Sus scrofa: one gene and its partner. The protein of the gene in region 1 interacts with the protein of each later gene in a pairwise test. Links are inferred from orthologs where the notes say so. Each region holds a gene or a part of one and is shown on either strand. Other genes may lie near its edges.

Evidence for each region. The genes of interacting proteins can lie anywhere in the genome.
Region 2: the proteins of CCDC102B (region 1) and POP5 interact in binary tests that used the Homo sapiens proteins (3 or more experiments, as listed by UniProt). The two-hybrid records come from large-scale screens. The link is inferred for Sus scrofa from reciprocal best matches to the Homo sapiens genes CCDC102B and POP5.

The regions. Positions count from the first base shown.
Region 1 is NC_010443.5:153,887,966-153,891,613, forward strand, and holds part of CCDC102B (coiled-coil domain-containing protein 102B), read right to left. Parts: intron 1,696-3,648; 5' UTR 1,680-1,695; coding exon 1,074-1,679; intron 1-1,073. UniProt on the Homo sapiens protein: During interphase, forms fibers at the proximal ends of centrioles to maintain centrosome cohesion. During mitosis, dissociates from the centrosome following phosphorylation to allow centrosome separation. Contributes to CROCC/rootletin filament formation.
Region 2 is NC_010456.5:40,523,096-40,527,368, forward strand, and holds the start of POP5 (ribonuclease P/MRP protein subunit POP5), read right to left. Parts: upstream 2,840-4,273; 5' UTR 2,728-2,839; coding exon 2,708-2,727; intron 2,635-2,707; coding exon 2,492-2,634; intron 1,091-2,491; coding exon 941-1,090; intron 758-940; coding exon 674-757; intron 572-673; coding exon 456-571; 3' UTR 1-455. UniProt on the Homo sapiens protein: Component of ribonuclease P, a protein complex that generates mature tRNA molecules by cleaving their 5'-ends. Also a component of the MRP ribonuclease complex, which cleaves pre-rRNA sequences.

The DNA.
Region 1 (3,648 bases):
AAAATACATTTCCCCACAGTCTTTTAAAATTTTTAATTTACAGTGGAATCTACATTGTATCTACCATAAATCCCATACATCATGGAAAGGCTTAACATTTTAGATGCAATTATAGAAGAGCAAGGTATTAATTGATTTATGGTTGTAGAGGTAGAATTAACTAGAAAGAGGTAATAATATAAACTAATTCTACTTGAAGAGCGAACACAAATTCCTAGTTTCCAAATGTATATTCCATGAGTTGTAGATATATATATATGGGAGGAGGGGTGTTTCATTGATAGATAAGTGTATGAACTGCTAGATTAAAGTTTTAAAATTTTTTATTGTGTGCAGAAATCTCAGAAACTTCAAGATTCAAGTATACCAAGAAATTCCAAGAGTAGGTAGTGTGAAGCAGTCCCTAAAGATATTTGCCTAAGTTACCTATCTTTGAGTGATTAATTGTGAGGACAGAGTCCCAACCTTCAGGAAAGGTTTAAACTACTGTACGGATAATTTCTTAGTAATGGTTTACTAGAGTAAATGGAGAGAAATCTCCATAAATATTTTCTTTTAACATTAAAAAATGCTGGGTTAATTTTGGCTAAAAGTATGAGTAACATAGGCTGACTTGTGTCTCCCCTAAAATTCATATGTTAAGGTCCCAACCCCCTCCAAATATCTCAGGATGTGACTGTGTTTGGAGATAGGGTCTTTAAGAGGTAATTAAGTTAAGATGAGCTTAATTAGTGTGGGCCTAGTGATGGCATCCACAAAAGAAGAAGAAATCTGGACAAAGATGCACAAAGACAATATGGAGACACAGGGAGAAGACAGCTATCTGTAAGCCAAGGAGACAGGCCTCCAAGGAAACTAGCCCTGCTGACACCTTGACCCACCTCAGACTTCTAGCCTCTAGAACTCTGAGAAAATGAATTTCTGTTGCTGAAGTCCCCCAGTCTGTGGGCAGTTAGTTCTGGCAGCCCACACAAACAAACACAGTAACCACTGGTTTTGCTATTTTCCTTTCCCTCCTCATTACTGTCTATAGCATTCAAAAAATCTCTGGATTCCTCTGGATTTTTTCTGACCTTACTCTTTGTGTTCTCCTTGGTAGGAAATTCTCTTTTTCCCAAACACTCTCTGATGGACTCACAGGTTTTGGAACCAATTTGAATTGAGTCTCTCTGTGTAGAGGACACATCTCTGAAACCAGGAAGCTTAAGGTCCTGAATAACTCTAGCTTCCAAAGCCTCCTTTTGAGGTGACAAATTTTGCTTCCTTTTCAGAGTACTCAGTTCCTTCATGGTCATCTCTAATTTTATCCTGAGTTGTCTTGCTTCCTCCCTGGCACTGTTCCTTTCAGCTCGAACTTTACTCCACTTTTCTCTCCAGTTGGCAGTGCAGTCTGACCACCACCGCATGGTCTTCTCCATCTGAGCAGCTCTGGCCTTGACCTCCTCCAGTTCCCGCAGTCGAAGCTCCTCACAAATATCCCATTCATTACTGTTGCATGAGTGAGCACAGACGTTGTGATAGGCATGAGATTGCAGCCCATAAAGTGGCAAATAGGGACCACAGGTGTCCCTGGGGGATGAGGCAGGCACCACCAGGTCACATGCTGGTTTAACTGATGACTGCTGCCTCTGGAAGATTTGTGTTTCCTCAATTAACCGACGAATGGAATCTAAATTCATATTTATCTTTTCAGGCCTAAGAAAAGACAGAGAACATAATTGCATTCGAATTTCCCCTGCAATTATAAGAGCAAGACCGACATTTAAAAAAGGAAGTTGATGAAAACAATGTGTCTTTTTCAATATTGTATATTTCCCTTCCCATTGTAGCTAAAAATATAGAGGAATTTCTGCATTTGTAATTACCCTCAAAGAAACAGAGATTTCTCCTATTTAAATTTGCCAAATAAATACAAATAATATATAAAGATGCAGCGGGGGATAGCATAGGACATGAATAATTCATTTCAACATATCCAGTTCTTTTCAGGTAATATTTATTGCAACATATATTGTCCATTAACTTCTCAATGGTCCCTTTTCCCCTGCTAACTAAAGCCCAATTTGTTCAGGTAGAAGGCAGAATCTATTGATCTTTGGAAGGATAAGCTCCTATTCCAATCCCAGGGGCTAAATTATGATTGGTCTAAACCTTTCGGATAACCTCCATTTAATTCATCATTCCTAATAGATAATAAATAGGTTTAAAGCAGCATGTGACCTGGTTCGGACTGATGAGAGGTCAGGGGAAGTCTGCTAGAGAAGTCTCCCATTCAGAAAAATGTGAAATCATCAGACTGAGAAACACTTTTATTTCTGCTCTCCTCCTGCCTGATCAAAGACAAGATTCTGCAAGAAGGTAAATGTAACAGCCACCCTGTAACATTAAAAATAGTGAAACAGAAGAATGAAAAAAGCTTTGTGTAATGATGGAGCTGCTGCCTGAAAGATAGAATCCATACCCCTGGTTTCCTTGCTGTGTGAGAATGATTACCTAAATTTATTTAAGCTATGACTGTTGAGTTTTCTGTAACTTGCTGTCAAAATGACATCTGACACATAAATTAACTTCCTACTGTGGTTAGTATTTTAAGTTCTAAAAATAAAATATTATGAATAAGACATGATCTGTGTCCTTAAAGATTTCGTAGGCCAGTGAATGAGACAGGCATATCACTGGTGTGTACAAGATACACTAAGGGGTACTGCTAAAGAAGTGATGAACTGTTTTAGAGAAACAAAGTAGCTTCACAGACAACACTGAAAAGAGTCTCAGTAATTCCAGAGCTTTAAAAAGGAATTAAAAGCAGCTTTCCATATAAATAGCAAAGACAAATTAATTGGTAAATGCAAACCTTTCTTATCAGTATGTACATCCATCACTTTATTCAATATAGCAACATAACTATATTGAGGATTAGCAAGTGGAACATTTTCTTTAAAATAAATTCTCAAAACATGCAGGTTAATCTACAAATTAATAAAGTTCTGTGGTTGTATAAGATTACCCATTTTTATTATCAAAGAGTTTCTGGTGTAAATGATCTTAGATAACATTTTACCTTCATGATATTAACTACTCCCATTTTTTTTCCATTTCCTTTTATAGAGTTACAGATCATAAATTGTCTTTTTATGAACCATCCATTTAATCTACTGAAGGGGTTTCATTATACCAACTAAGTTAACTGCTATTGACTGAAAAAAGACCATATAATATTAAATGTATACCACTTTCAGCTGTGGAAAAACACATTTTAGTAAGTGTTCTGTAGGGATGTCAAACCAATTCACTCATTATAATACTTAATATAATAATATAGATTCATGGTTGTAATTATTTTTGTTAACATTAGTTTATGTCAAATCATATTTGAACTAGTGCTGACTTGGAGCAATTATTCCTTTCATTTACTGTAATTCAGTGACAATAATAATATACTGACCAAATTTCTCAGACCACTAGTAAACCAAGACCAGTATTTTAAAAAAGAGAAACTCTTAATTAGAAGCATACCAAATATTATATATTTATATTTACATATTTCACTACTTAATAACATATTTCTTTTTGTTGAAATTTCAAAATGAAGATAGGAAATTTATTTCAGTATATTAAACTGAAATTTATCCTTGCCATTTTTCAAAA
Region 2 (4,273 bases), on another chromosome or scaffold:
TTGGCAAGTTTTATTTTATTTATTTATTTATTTATTTTTTTGTCTTGTTGTTGTTGCTATTTCTTGGGCCGCTCCCGCGGCATATGGAGGTTCCCAGGCTAGGGGTCGAATCGGAGCTGTAGCCACCGGCCTACGCCAGAGCCACAGCAACAAGGGATCCGAGCCGAGTCTGCGACCTACACCACAGCTCACGGCAACGCCGGATCGTTAACCCACTGAGCAAGGGCAGGGACCGAACCCGCAACCTCATGGTTCCTAGTCGGATTCGTTAACCACTGCGCCACGACGGGAACTCCGGCAAGTTTTAAACAATAAGTCAATTCATTTTGAGCTGGTAACTGGCCACTGATCAGCAGTCATCCAGTTTGAGAACTGTAGAAGGTGCTAGTGCCTCCCAGAATTCCCTGTCCAACAAGTAGGCCCTGAAGCTTAGGCGCAACGCAGCCTGCAAAAGTTCACTCCATTGTCTCAGCAGCCTCCTCACCGCCACTATCTGAAAGCTCCTCCCCAGTGGACTCCTCTTCTAGTAAACAGCTTCTTGTAACAGACTTCTGGATAGCTTCCCGCTCTCCTGGAGAAAGAGCATGGATTATTAAAGTCTCTGGAAGTGACCTCTCATTCAGCTGGAGGAGGTCAGTCACTGCTCAGTGGGCACGGGGCTAGCAGGGCTTACCTTCATCAGTGCAGTTCTGCAACAAAATCAACAGCTGTCTCCTATTGTACTGAATGAGGAACTTCTGACATGTTCTAATTGTACCTGACACAAGAAAGAGCTTTGCAGTCAACAGCTCGCAAAAGGTGTTTGCCTCAGAGTCTTGCAGAGCTAGGAAAAATTATCTTGCTCTTGGCAAGGTAGCAGGAGGACCCACCCACTATTGAAGACTGAACTCTGAACCTGTTTCCTATTGAAAATCAGCAGCCATAACACATGCACCCCTACCTCCCACGTGTAAGGTGTTAAAAAAACACGGATAACGGTGTCCTTTGTTCTCCAAGTATGTGATGAAGGGAAGAGCTGACCACACGAGCCGATAGAATTCCTTCCGGCATCGAAGTAGCACTATTCCGGTATAGGCATTGAGGTATCGCACTGCAGCAGGAAAAAAATCATTTTGGGAAAATGGATTCTCAGGAGCACGTTTAAAATCTTAGGGTAGAAGTTCCTGTCATGGCGTAGCGGAAACAAATCTGACTAGGAACCATGAGGTTGCTGGTTCGATCCCTGGCCTTGCTCAGTGGGTTAAGGAACTGGCGTTGCCATGAGCTATGGTGTAGACTGTGGCTGTGGTGTAAGCTGGCAGCTGTAGCTTCGATTCGACCCCTAGCCTGGGAACCTCCACATGCTGTGGGTGCAGCCCTAAAAAAAGCAAAAAAAAAAAAAAATCTTCAGGTAACTGAGAGCCTATGTACCAGAAAACATTCAAGGCGGTGGCACTTGGGATGCCATCAATGAGTAAAAACTGATTTCTGAAGGAAAATAATGGGAGATAAATAACATCTAGGGCCTTTACATACCACTCAGAATTGGTGAATGAATTTAGAATTTAATTTTTTGCTTTTTAGGGCCACACCCATGGCATATGGAAGTTCCAAGGCTAGAGGTTGAATCAGCTAAAGCTGCAGGCCTATGTCACAGCTACAGCAACTCGGGATCGAAGCTGCCTCTGCCACCTACACAGCTCAGGGCAACCTTGAGTCCTTAACCCACTGAGAGAGGCCAGAGGTCTAATATGCATCCTCCTGTATCCTAGTCAGGTTCCTTAACTGCTGAGCCACAAAGGGAACTCCTAAAATGCACTTTTAATTCACAAACTAGTTAACCCAAGGAGGGGGGTGGCAGAAATCCATACTCTTCAGAAGGATGTTTTCCCTTAGCTGAAAAACAAGTTCTGCAACTGGGCTATGTAGGTTCTTCCAGCAACCGAGTCTCACCTTGGTAGAAGGGTTGCCTCTAGGTACATTACCTTCTCCAGATTTCAATTTCAAGCATATGGTAAAAAACGGAATGAATTTACATAGTGTGGTTGTGGAGGAGGGTCCTCTCTTGCATTTACACATACACACAACTGTGTATTCTGTACTTCACAGGCCCCTATGCAGGGCTTTTCAGGGGTAATTCTGACAATGCTTTTTTCATATGATGTCAAAGTAACCCGTCAAATAACTTACTCGGAACTATACAAGTCTTTCCTCATTTAGTTTTCATCATCCTATTAAACTCAATCAAAAACCACACGTCAAATAGTATAGGGGTTTCTGCCGACTGGTATTTTCTGCCCACTGCCTACTGGTATTAGCTCTCCGCTTAAGTTTGGACTCAAGCAGACCTCAGGCTCGGGTTCTGAAACTCCTAAAAAGGACGACACCCTACATAAAATGGTGCACAGGGCTTGGCAGCTTCCAAGGTCGCCCGTGCCCCTTCTTTCTCCCTCCAATGGCCACTGCTCCCTCCAGATCCCGCCATCCTCCTGGTTCCCCAACACCCTCGCACCCGCGAAGCCGATGGAGGAGGCGGCCGCGCCGAAAGTTCCGTGCACGCGCGCGATCGTGTCCCGTACTAGGCCGCCCAGCACTCGGTCCTCCAGATTCAGACGGCAGCGGGGGTCCTCAGACACCACTTCGCAAAGCAGGTACCTGGGGCAGGCGAGAGGGCGGTGAGTGCTGGGCCGGGGCCAGGACCGCAGGGACAGGAATAAGGGTTGCTTACCTGTGCTTGAAGCGCACCATGTTCGTATCCGCCTCGGGCGTCCAGACACTCAAACCGGATGTCTGCCTTCTCGTCGGCGGCCAATGGGAAGTTGGCCTGGCAGCCACTCAGAGAGGGAGGCGGAACTAGAATGTAGGCGGAGCCCCGTGTCAGTCTCCTTTGAGCTCCGCCTCCCTCTGCCGAGCGCAGGCGTCCTGCTCATTTCTTCGCTTAGACTTTCAACTGAACCCGTTGTGATGAGTGGTTGTGCTCCACGCCAGAGTTTGCTGTTTAGGATGCAGCTGAGGCATTTGGAACCTCCAGGACGTTCCATTACCTTGCAACATAGTACCCAAGCTGGACGGTGGAACATTTGAGCACAAGACCTTGCACCCCCCAGGCCAGGGATTGATAGGGGAAATCGGACTCTTATTCTCAGTTTGGAGCTCGGTTTAATTTCTCCATACAGCCAAATATGTTATTACTGTTTAGGCCTTTCAATAACCTTATGGAGTTGGGTGTATTGGCTTGTTTTTTTTTGTTTGTTTTTTTGTTTTTTTGCAAAAACAATCCGTGGTCGTTATATTTTCTGGTTATTTTGGTTTGTTTTTTGTTTTTGTTTTTAAACAGAAAAGCACAAAGAAGCAAATAAAAATAAGTTATAATCCCAGCACCTAGAGAGAATAATTTATCATGTAGTGGATTTTCTTCCAACATTTTACCCCTGTTCCAGTGGTTTTCCAGGTGAAGTCCAGGAACCACTGGATTTTCCCAGATTCTTTTAGGGAGTCCCCCGAGGTCAAATTACTTTTGTAGTAACACTAAGGTGTTACTTGCTGTTTTCACTTTCTGAGTGGACAGTAAAGTTTTCCAGAGGCCAGTGACATGTGCTGACATTGCTCTGATGGCTAAGAGAATTGTGCATGGTGTTTTAAACATTTCTGTTTTAATAAACATAGTGAGTATCAATATATTTCACATAACAAAAGCTCTTTGGGATCCTCAATAATTTAGTAAGAATGGAAAGGGGCCCTGAGACAAAAAAGGTACGAGATGTACCTTCCACTGTATGATAATTTATATTTTCCATTTTCTTTTTAAGAATAGGATCATACTGTTTACTACTCTTCTTTCCCCTCACATTGAATATCTTTTTAAAAACTGAGGCATAACATACATAAAATGCATATTAAGTGCATAACTCAATGAATTTTTATATATGTATAAACTTTTGCAACCACTGCCCAGATTAAGAGATAGAACATTTCCAACACTCAGGAAGGTTCCTGTGCTCTCTTCCGAGCCAAAAACCTTCCCAGAAGTAGCCTATATTCTGACTTCTGTCATGACAGATTAGCTTTTTCTCTTCTGGAACTTTATATAAATGTAAATCTCCAGCAGCATATTTGTGTGTGTGTGCGTGCATGTCTGGCTCCTTTCTTTCAACATAATGTCTGTAAGATTCATTCTTGTCATTTGACTATATTTTCATGCCAGCTGTTCTACAAAGTTATTTTTCAGTTGCCCCAGACTGCATTGTTTGGATGTACCACTGCTGATCTAGTCAATATTTCCATGATGGATATT